Linked DNA regions of Cricetulus griseus. The protein of the gene in region 1 binds, or shares a complex with, the protein of each later gene. Links are inferred from orthologs where the notes say so. Each region holds a gene or a part of one and is shown on either strand. Other genes may lie near its edges. The genes, in order: Timp2 and Mmp2.

Region 1 (3,811 bases):
ACAAAGCCATGGCTGGTGGCCTGTGATTATAATCCCAGCACTGGGAAGGAAGACACAGTTGAACGCAGAGGCTTGCTGGCAAGCCAGCCAGTGAGCTCCAGGCCAATGAGACATCCTGTCTCAAAAAATAAGGTGGGGAATTCAGTGACAGGATTCAGTGTGTAAAGGCGCTTGCTTGCCACAGCCTGTTCACCTCAGTTCCATCCCTGGAACCCACTCGGTGGAGAGACTCCCATAAGGCGTCCTCTGACTTTGACATGTTGGCTGTATCCGGCAATGTGCAAACCCTGCCCACCCCCAACAAATAAAAATGGAGAAAAAAAAAAAAAACACCCAAAAACCAAGGCAGGTGGCGCCTGAGAAATGATACATGACCTTCACACGCTTGTCCCATACGACATCTCACACGGAAACTTCTAGAGAGGGATCTCTGAACCTCTTGAATGCTAGGCCGGTGCTTTGCTCTGGGCTGTGCTCCAGGACCCCCCCACCCCTGTGGAGACCCCAAATCTGAATAACCAGGCTCCTTTGCGGTGGATGGCTGCCCATCTTCTTGAGCCTCCAAAGTCTGTTTGAGGATGAGATGCTGGCATGACAGAGTCACCTCTCCACCAGCCCTACCTGCAGGGGCAGGACTATATGCTAGGCCATTTGTTTACTGTTTCTCTAGTCACCAGTAGGTAGGAAGAACCTGACCCATGGCCACAGCCTACCGCTGTACAGAGCCGCCTATGGCCCTAGTCAACAAATGATTCATTTGGGATACATTGGTTTGGGTTTTGTTTGGGGTGGTTTTGTTTGAGACAGGGTCTCACTTTGTAGCCCTTGCTGTCCTGGAATTCACTATGTAGGCCAGGCTGGCCTTGAACTCGCAGAGATCCACCTGCCTCTGCTCCAAGTGCAGGAGTTAAAGGTGTGAGTCATCACACCCAGCTTTTTGGTATTTTGTTTTATTTTGTTTTGTTTTTCCTGGCAGGGTTTCTCTGTGGCTTAGGAGGCTGTCCTGGAACTAGCTCTTGAAGACCAGGCTGGTCTCGAACTCACAGAGATCCACCTGCCTCTGCCTCCCAAGTTCTGGGATCAAAGGCCTGTGCCACCAATGCCTGGCCAGCTTTTTGGTTTTTGATTTTGTCTTTGAGTCAGGTTTGTGGTTGTTGTTTTGTTTTGTTTTTTTTTATTTTTGTTTTTGACAAGAGGTTTCTCTGTGTAGCCCTGACTGCCCTGAAACTCACTCTGTAGAACAGGCTGGCTTCTAACTCAGAGATCTACCTGAGTGTTGGGCTTAAAGGCGTGTCCCCCACCACACATATACACACCACCTGGTAAGGCAGGGTTTTATTAGCCCAGGCTGTCCTTGAAGTTCTGACCCTCCTGACTCCATGTCCTAAGGACTGGGGTTAAAAGTGTGTGTCACTGCGCCCACTTTTACTTGGTGCTAGAGACTGAACACAGGTCTTTGTGCATACTAGTCAAGCACTCGGCCAATTGAATCACATCCCAGCCACAGCAAAGAACTCTTGCTAACCAACCCAGGACAACAAGCTACAGAGTCTCCTCTCCTTCCTGTGCCAACCCAACTCCTCTGACCCCCTCAGGTTACAGTGTTTGGGCAATAGACCCACCTCCCTTTGTACCTCCAGTAGGGAGGGACACCTTCCTCCCCTGGGCAGAGCCTGAATCCTGGTCCTCCGGGACTCTCCTCATCTGTGTCTCTGTATTTTGCAGTGATCAGGGCCAAAGCAGTAAGCGAGAAGGAGGTGGATTCCGGGAACGACATCTACGGCAACCCCATCAAGAGGATCCAATATGAGATCAAGCAGATAAAGGTAGCCCCTGGTTTGGTGGGGGAAGCAGGGATGGGGTCCTGGAACGCCTCCCAGCCACCGTAAGCCAGAAAGCTGAGCTGTCAAGCCACAAAGAAGCCCAGTTCTCCTTAAGCCACAAGAACATGAAAGGCTGGCAGAAATGTGAGGTTTTCAGCTGCCTCAGTCACTGTCCTATGCTTGGCACAGGAACCAAAGCAAGTCTTGTAAAGAAAGCATATTAAACAGGGGCCTGCTTACAGTTTCAGAAGATGAGTCCGTGGTCATCATGGTGGGAGGCAGGCAGACGTGGATGGTTCTGGAGCAGTAGCTGAGAGCTTTGCAACCTGACCCTAAGGCAGCAGGTGGAGTGAGGGACATTGGGCCTGGCATGAGCTTTTGAAACCTCAAAGCCCACCCTCAGTGACAGACCTCCTTCAATAAAGCCATACCTCCTAATCCTTCCCACACAGTTCTACCTACTAGGGGACCAAGCATTTGCATATTTGACCCCATGGGCCCGTTCTCATTCAAACCACCATGTCACCCTAATTCCAGAAACAGACTAGCTTGATTTTACCAGGTGATAAACCTGGGGGTAGCATGTCATAAGAGGAAGAGTCTGGCAGTCAGTTGTACTTGAGGGCAGCTTCCTGACTGTGGTGGGCCATTTACTGAGAAGGTAGCCCATTGAGCGGACAGGGCTGTGGTCGGGGAACTGCAGATGGCCCCAGTCGTGGCTGTGGTGGTGTCTGCTAGTATATTCAGAGTACTTTGTGTGTCAGAGACAAATGGGAAGAACCAGTGTTAGAGAGAGAGACAGACAGAGAGAGACAGAGATACTCAGAGAGAGGCAGACAGAGAGAGAGAGAGAGAGAGAAACAGACAGACAGACAGACAGACAGACACACACACACACACGAAGAGAGAGAGAGAGAGAGAGAGAGAGAGAGAGAGAGAGAGAGAGAGATGTTAAGGGAGAGGCAGGGGATATGGCTCAGTTGGTAGCATGCTTACCGAGCACACATGAAGCCCTGAGTTTGATCCCTGGAATTACAAAACTAGGTAGGGTGGTACATGCCTGCTCTGGTAGTTGACATTTACTAACTTGGTATTCAAAGAAAGACAGCTGGCTCCTCCAGTGTTAGGGACAGCTTTGTCATGCAGTAGTGGTTGTAGACATCCTTATTTACCAAAATTGAAAATAAATATTATCAACAGGCCAGAGGAGCGAGCACTTCCTCATCCCATGTGTCACCTCAGGAACGACTAACTCTCAATACCAAAGTCTCCTTCTGAGGCAGAGAAGCAGGTGGGCTTGCGTAACCTCATCACCTCCTCGTGGCTTAATACCAGGAAGTGACTCTGTTGCCCTGGCAACCTTCCTTCCTACAGCGTTAGAACTGAGCTCCCCAAAGCCGTTTTGTCCTGGAGAGGGACTGCAGCCTGAAGGCTCAGTGGGTAAGAGCACTGACTACTCCTCCAGAATTAGGATCCCAGCACCCATGTCAGGCAGCTCACAACTGCCTGCCGGCCCTGCTTGAGGGGAATCTGGCTTCTGAGGGCACCTCATGGTAGCAGACACACAGACACAAACACACCATGGAAGTAGAAATAAAAATAAATATTTAAAACTCGAAGGAAGGAAAGAAGGAAGGAAGGAAGGAAGGAAGGAAGGAAGGAAGGAAGGAAGGAAGGAAGGAAGAGGCAAACGAAAACCCTCTTCTGGGGTGTCGGGAAGGGTGTGAGTAAAAGGGGAGCGGGGTGAAACCCCCACACACATCTAGGTGTCTTCCTCTGAGGGGCAGCAGGCATACCCCTGAAGAGCAGGCATACCCCTGAAATGAGTCAGATGCTGAGAAATAAATGAAACCCTCCAGTGACTCTGGGGTTATGTTCTGGCTCCAGGGGGAGCCCTTCTCCCCTTGTTCTCATCAGGTAGTCAGTGCTTCGCCAAGATCCCTGGAAATAAACAGCCTGCTGTAGTAAAACCCTATAAACCCAGCATC
Region 2 (4,373 bases), on another chromosome or scaffold:
CACAGCTAAGCCTTCCATCCATCTCTGTGCCTCAACTCTCTTATCCTCCTGTTTTCCTGTCCTCCTGTTCTTGAGCCCTGGGTCTTGTTTGGAGTGCATAGTGGCCCTAGAAACAATCTAAGGTTATTCTCATGTGTGTTAGAAAAAAAATAATATACCAAATCCACAATTTCACAAATAATACTGCTAACAGTGAGACTTTCAAAAACCTGAAGTGACTTATGTAGATATAAAGTAAGTACATATGGTCATACATCACAAAAATAACATTGAAGTCACAACAGACCATGATGGTCCCATGTGACAGTGGTCCCATAAGGCCAGATTGGCTGGTTACTTTGTAACCTTCTCAACTTGTGTAAGGAGTCTGTGTTCACACAGTGATGATGAACTTCTACAAAATATACATTTTTGGAACGTGTACCTGACATTAATCAATATATAGCTATAACAGTAGAAGAGGGACACAATGATGGCTAAAATCAAGATAATGGACATGGGTGAGGGGATGATGGTTGACTGGCCTGTGGAATGTGGAGGGGGAAAGCATAGCAGGAACCTAGGTAGGCTGGGGGTCTGGGTAGGATAAGGGTTGGGTCCAGGGTAGCTGCTCACCTTCATGGGGGCAGAAGCCGTACTTGCCATCCTTCTCGAAGTTGTAGGTGGTGGAACACCAGAGGAAGCCATCGCTGCGGCCGGCATCAGTGCAGCTGTTGTATTCCCGGCCATTAAACAGGAAGGGGAACTTGCAGTACTCGCCATCAGCATTTCCATACTTTACCCGGACCACTGCAGGGCATACAGAGATGGAACACACCTCTCCAGGGCCTTCATCAGACACTAGGCTGTGGGCTCACCCTGGAAGCTGACTTCCCTACCCCTCTCAATGCCCCGATCCCATCAGAACAGAAGAAAGGCTTAAGGTTGGTTTTGGTTGCTAGGGGACAGAGAAGCAAGCCAGTAGAGGCTATCTTACCTTGCCCTTCCCCCAGGGTCCACAGCTCATCGTCATCAAAGTGAGAGTCTCCCCCAACACCAGTACCCGGGGCGAAGGCATGTGCCAGGAGTCCATCCTTGCCATCAAATGGGTATCCATCTCCATGCTCTGAAACCCACATTGATTCTTAGCTCTTAGCATTCCTCACTCCCACCACTTGGTCCTTAAGTCTAGTCACAGCCTAAGCTGTGTCCTCTGTCCTCCAAGCACCTGTCCCCTTCCCTTTTCCCATTGTGGTTATCTAGGATAGGCATTGCAGGGAGTTAATGAAAAAGCTCTGGCTTGGTTGCTACCATTCTGTGGCCCAAACTACTCTCAAGTCCACATGGTCCTCTTCACCTGCACCACTGACCTCTGCTGTCTTCATTGATCTCAAAATCACTGTGCCCATCCACACGCCTCCAGTGCCACTAAGGCATGCTAACCACGTGCTTTCCTGACACCCATGACCTCCCATCAACACTGTCTTCCTCACCATGCCCTACTCTCCTGGCAGATTGTCATCACTACCCAGAGAGCTGGCCCTCAGGCCCACTGTGACAGCATGCTCACCTTACTTACTCCCATGTCTACACTGTTCTTCCCCTCCATCTGCCTTCATTGCTTTACCACCTGGTATCTATACCACCAGCCTTCATATTTACACTGCAACCAGTTCATACCAACAGCTTAAAGATGGTGGTTTGACCCCAGATTCTATTCCACTTCCTCCTATGTTGCTCTTGTGACAACTGAATTTTAATTAAAAAGGTCTTTCATATTACTTTAAGTCCAATAAGCCACTTAGGGGCTGTCATTTAGAGGGTGCAGTAGATTTTCACTGTGTACACTGCAGTGCATTCTCTGCTCTCACAGCCGTGGCTCTCCAGGGTCTGGGCAGTGTTCTGCTATTTCCATCTAATCCACATCAAGTGTCTACACCTTCTTGGTAAGCTGCCCTCAGGATCCCCAAATGTTTCAAAAGTCTACATGGCCCTGCTGTCTCTATGTTGACCCACTTTCCAGCCCCCCTTCTGCCTACCCCAGCGACCAAAGTTGATCATGATGTCAGCTTCCCCGTCATGGATTCGAGAAAAGCGTAGTGGAGTCACATCACTCCATACTTGTAAGGCCCGAGCAAAGGCATCATCCACTGTCTCGGGGTCCAGGTCAGGTGTGTAACCAATGATCCTAGAGAGGGGAGAAATGCATGTGAGTGTGCATATGCAACCGTGCAAATGTCTACGTGCCCAGTGTGTGTGCATGAGTGTGTGCCTAAGTGCCCTGATGTTTCCAGAATCCCAGACTTTCTCATCTCTCACTTCTGTCTGGGACAAGGGCACCAGAGACCTAAACAGCAAATAGCAGACAAAAGGCAGAGATCTCACCCTTGATAAACACCAGCTACACAGGATAGAGCTCTTAGCCTAATTAGCAACCAATCATAACAACACAAGATTAAAAGCACAATTATCAGCTGCTCATCAAACTTCCTTGACCTACTCCAATGACCCAAGTGATAATATCACCAACACTTACTAGACCCTTTCTCTGTAACAAACATTGTAGAAGCCCTTGATTTACATGTAATCTAATTTAGTTCCCCAATCACCCCTATGAGAAGTAGATTTTTTAGCCCTCTTTCATAAGCAAGGATACCAACTCAGACTGCACGAGAATAAGACCAGTGCCCCAAGATTAGTGAGTATGAGACTCAAGTCTAGGTCTGCCTGGCTTGTCACCAAGAACTCTGTATGAAGAGTCTCTGAATTTTCGTATTTCAGTAATGACACTTTATGGGCCCCCTGAATTGGAAAGGCAAGTCCCAAGAAGACTCACATCCCTCAGGCTGCTGGCCCTGCATCCCCAGCCCCCCCCCCTTGGCACCTGTATGTGAGCTGGTTCTTGTCCCACTTGGGCTTTCGGGGAAAGAAGTTGTAGTTGGCCACATCCGGGTTGCCACAGCGTGGCTTCCGCATGGTCTCGATGGTATTCTGGTCAAGGTCACCTGTCTGAGGCAGCCCAAAGAATTTCTGCATCTTCTTGAGGGTGTCCTTCAGCACGAAAAGATTGCAGCTCTCCATGGGGCAGCCGTAGAAAGTATTCAAGTATTGCTGAAAGAGACAGGTAGTCAGTCTCAAAGCTAGGAGCCACATTGGGATGGCAAAGCACACAGTCCCAACTACTCCCCAAACATCCCCTACTTGGGACAGAACAGAATCAAGGAGTCCAAGGACACAGAGTGGAGTCTTAGGCTCCCAAATGAGTTCTGTCACTGGATGGCATGCACCTGTAAATGGCGTGGTTACCAACTTTTTTTCTCTGAATGTAGCAGATGTTATGTACCACCCACTATATATAAGACAGCTTAAAAGAGTTGCTTGATATGAAACCACTCACACATGGCAGCTCTGGATTTGACACCAAGCAGTGTACTCCAGAGCCCATGCTTGAACCCTGATACTCCAGCATCTATCTGGTTGAACCTCCCAACAGGCCTAGGCATACATTGCCCTCCTCCTTCTTTCTTTCTTTCTTTCTTTCTTTCTTTCTTTCTTTCTTTTTCTATAAAGAAATCCAAGAATTTTGTGCATGGGATTTGGTAGCATACCTGTGTTCAAATTTTCACCCACAGTTTCTCAACAGAGACAAGTCTTATTCTTCAGAGGGTCTGCCCTAAACTAGCAGCCAGCTGCTCAACAAACATTGTTTGATGCCTGCCCCCAGTCAATTATCCTTGTTCTATTGCCAGGGTAAACTGATGATCAAGACAGGCACTTCTAGTCTGTAAGATCCAAAACCCAGTGCAGGAACGTGAGTGGAAATCACAAAGAAACGAAGAATTAAATATGTGGGAAGGGCTGGCTGGAGCGGTGAAAGGAACCAGAAGTGATGCTGACTGGTTCTCACATCCTTGGAGGCAGTACACAAAGCGGGGGAAGGAGGGCATGACAGTAGTGCTGATAATGGCAATATAACAGTCCTAATGCCCGATGTTTACTGAGTGCTTCCCCGGTGCCAAATGCTCGTCTAAGTATCTGAGAGCACCTGCCCACTTATCACAAAGATGGATGGGTGCCGTTCTGACCCTCTGACTTCAAAGAAATGGCCACTCCTGAAGTTACATCAGTCATCAGTGATCACCAGGCCAGTAGGTTAATACACTCCCTGAGAGGGTTTGCAGGGAGTAGTATTTAAGTTCAAAGTGCCCCCCCTTTTTTTTCTTTCTTTTTGTTTTATGTCTTTTTCATTTTCAAGTCCAAGCTCAAGTTGAACCGAGGACCCTCCTGTCCCAGTTTCCCCAGGACTGACTTCACAAGTGTGCACCACCATGATTGATTGCAACCCCCCACCCCCACCCTGCTTGTTAACTTCTCTCCACTTGCACTACCTCTGG

The links.
Region 2: the proteins of Timp2 (region 1) and Mmp2 are in contact, whole or in part, in a crystal structure (PDB 1GXD), measured with the Homo sapiens proteins. The link is inferred for Cricetulus griseus from reciprocal best matches to the Homo sapiens genes TIMP2 and MMP2. Residues at the interface, in NP_003246.1 of Homo sapiens: Ile162, Pro163, Cys164, Tyr165, Ile166, Pro169, Leu173, Met175, Val178, Thr179, Phe191, Arg196, Asp198, Ser200, Cys201, Ala202, Trp203, Tyr204, Arg205, Ala208, Lys211, Gln212, Glu213, Phe214, Leu215, Asp216, Glu218; in NP_004521.1 of Homo sapiens: Trp574, Lys576, Asn577, Lys579, Tyr581, Phe588, Arg590, Lys595, Asp599, Phe602, Lys604, Ile606, Ala607, Asp608, Ala609, Trp610, Asn611, Ala612, Asp615, Tyr636, Leu638, Leu645, Lys646, Ser647, Val648, Lys649, Phe650, Gly651, Ser652.

What each region holds. Positions count from the first base shown.
Region 1 is NC_048600.1:130,872,270-130,876,080, reverse strand, and holds part of Timp2 (metalloproteinase inhibitor 2), read left to right. Parts: intron 1-1,725; coding exon 1,726-1,826; intron 1,827-3,811. UniProt on the Homo sapiens protein: Complexes with metalloproteinases (such as collagenases) and irreversibly inactivates them by binding to their catalytic zinc cofactor. Known to act on MMP-1, MMP-2, MMP-3, MMP-7, MMP-8, MMP-9, MMP-10, MMP-13, MMP-14, MMP-15, MMP-16 and MMP-19.
Region 2 is NC_048596.1:168,542,541-168,546,913, reverse strand, and holds the start of Mmp2 (72 kDa type IV collagenase), read right to left. Parts: upstream 3,077-4,373; 5' UTR 3,061-3,076; coding exon 2,864-3,060; intron 2,168-2,863; coding exon 2,019-2,167; intron 1,106-2,018; coding exon 977-1,105; intron 790-976; coding exon 616-789; intron 1-615.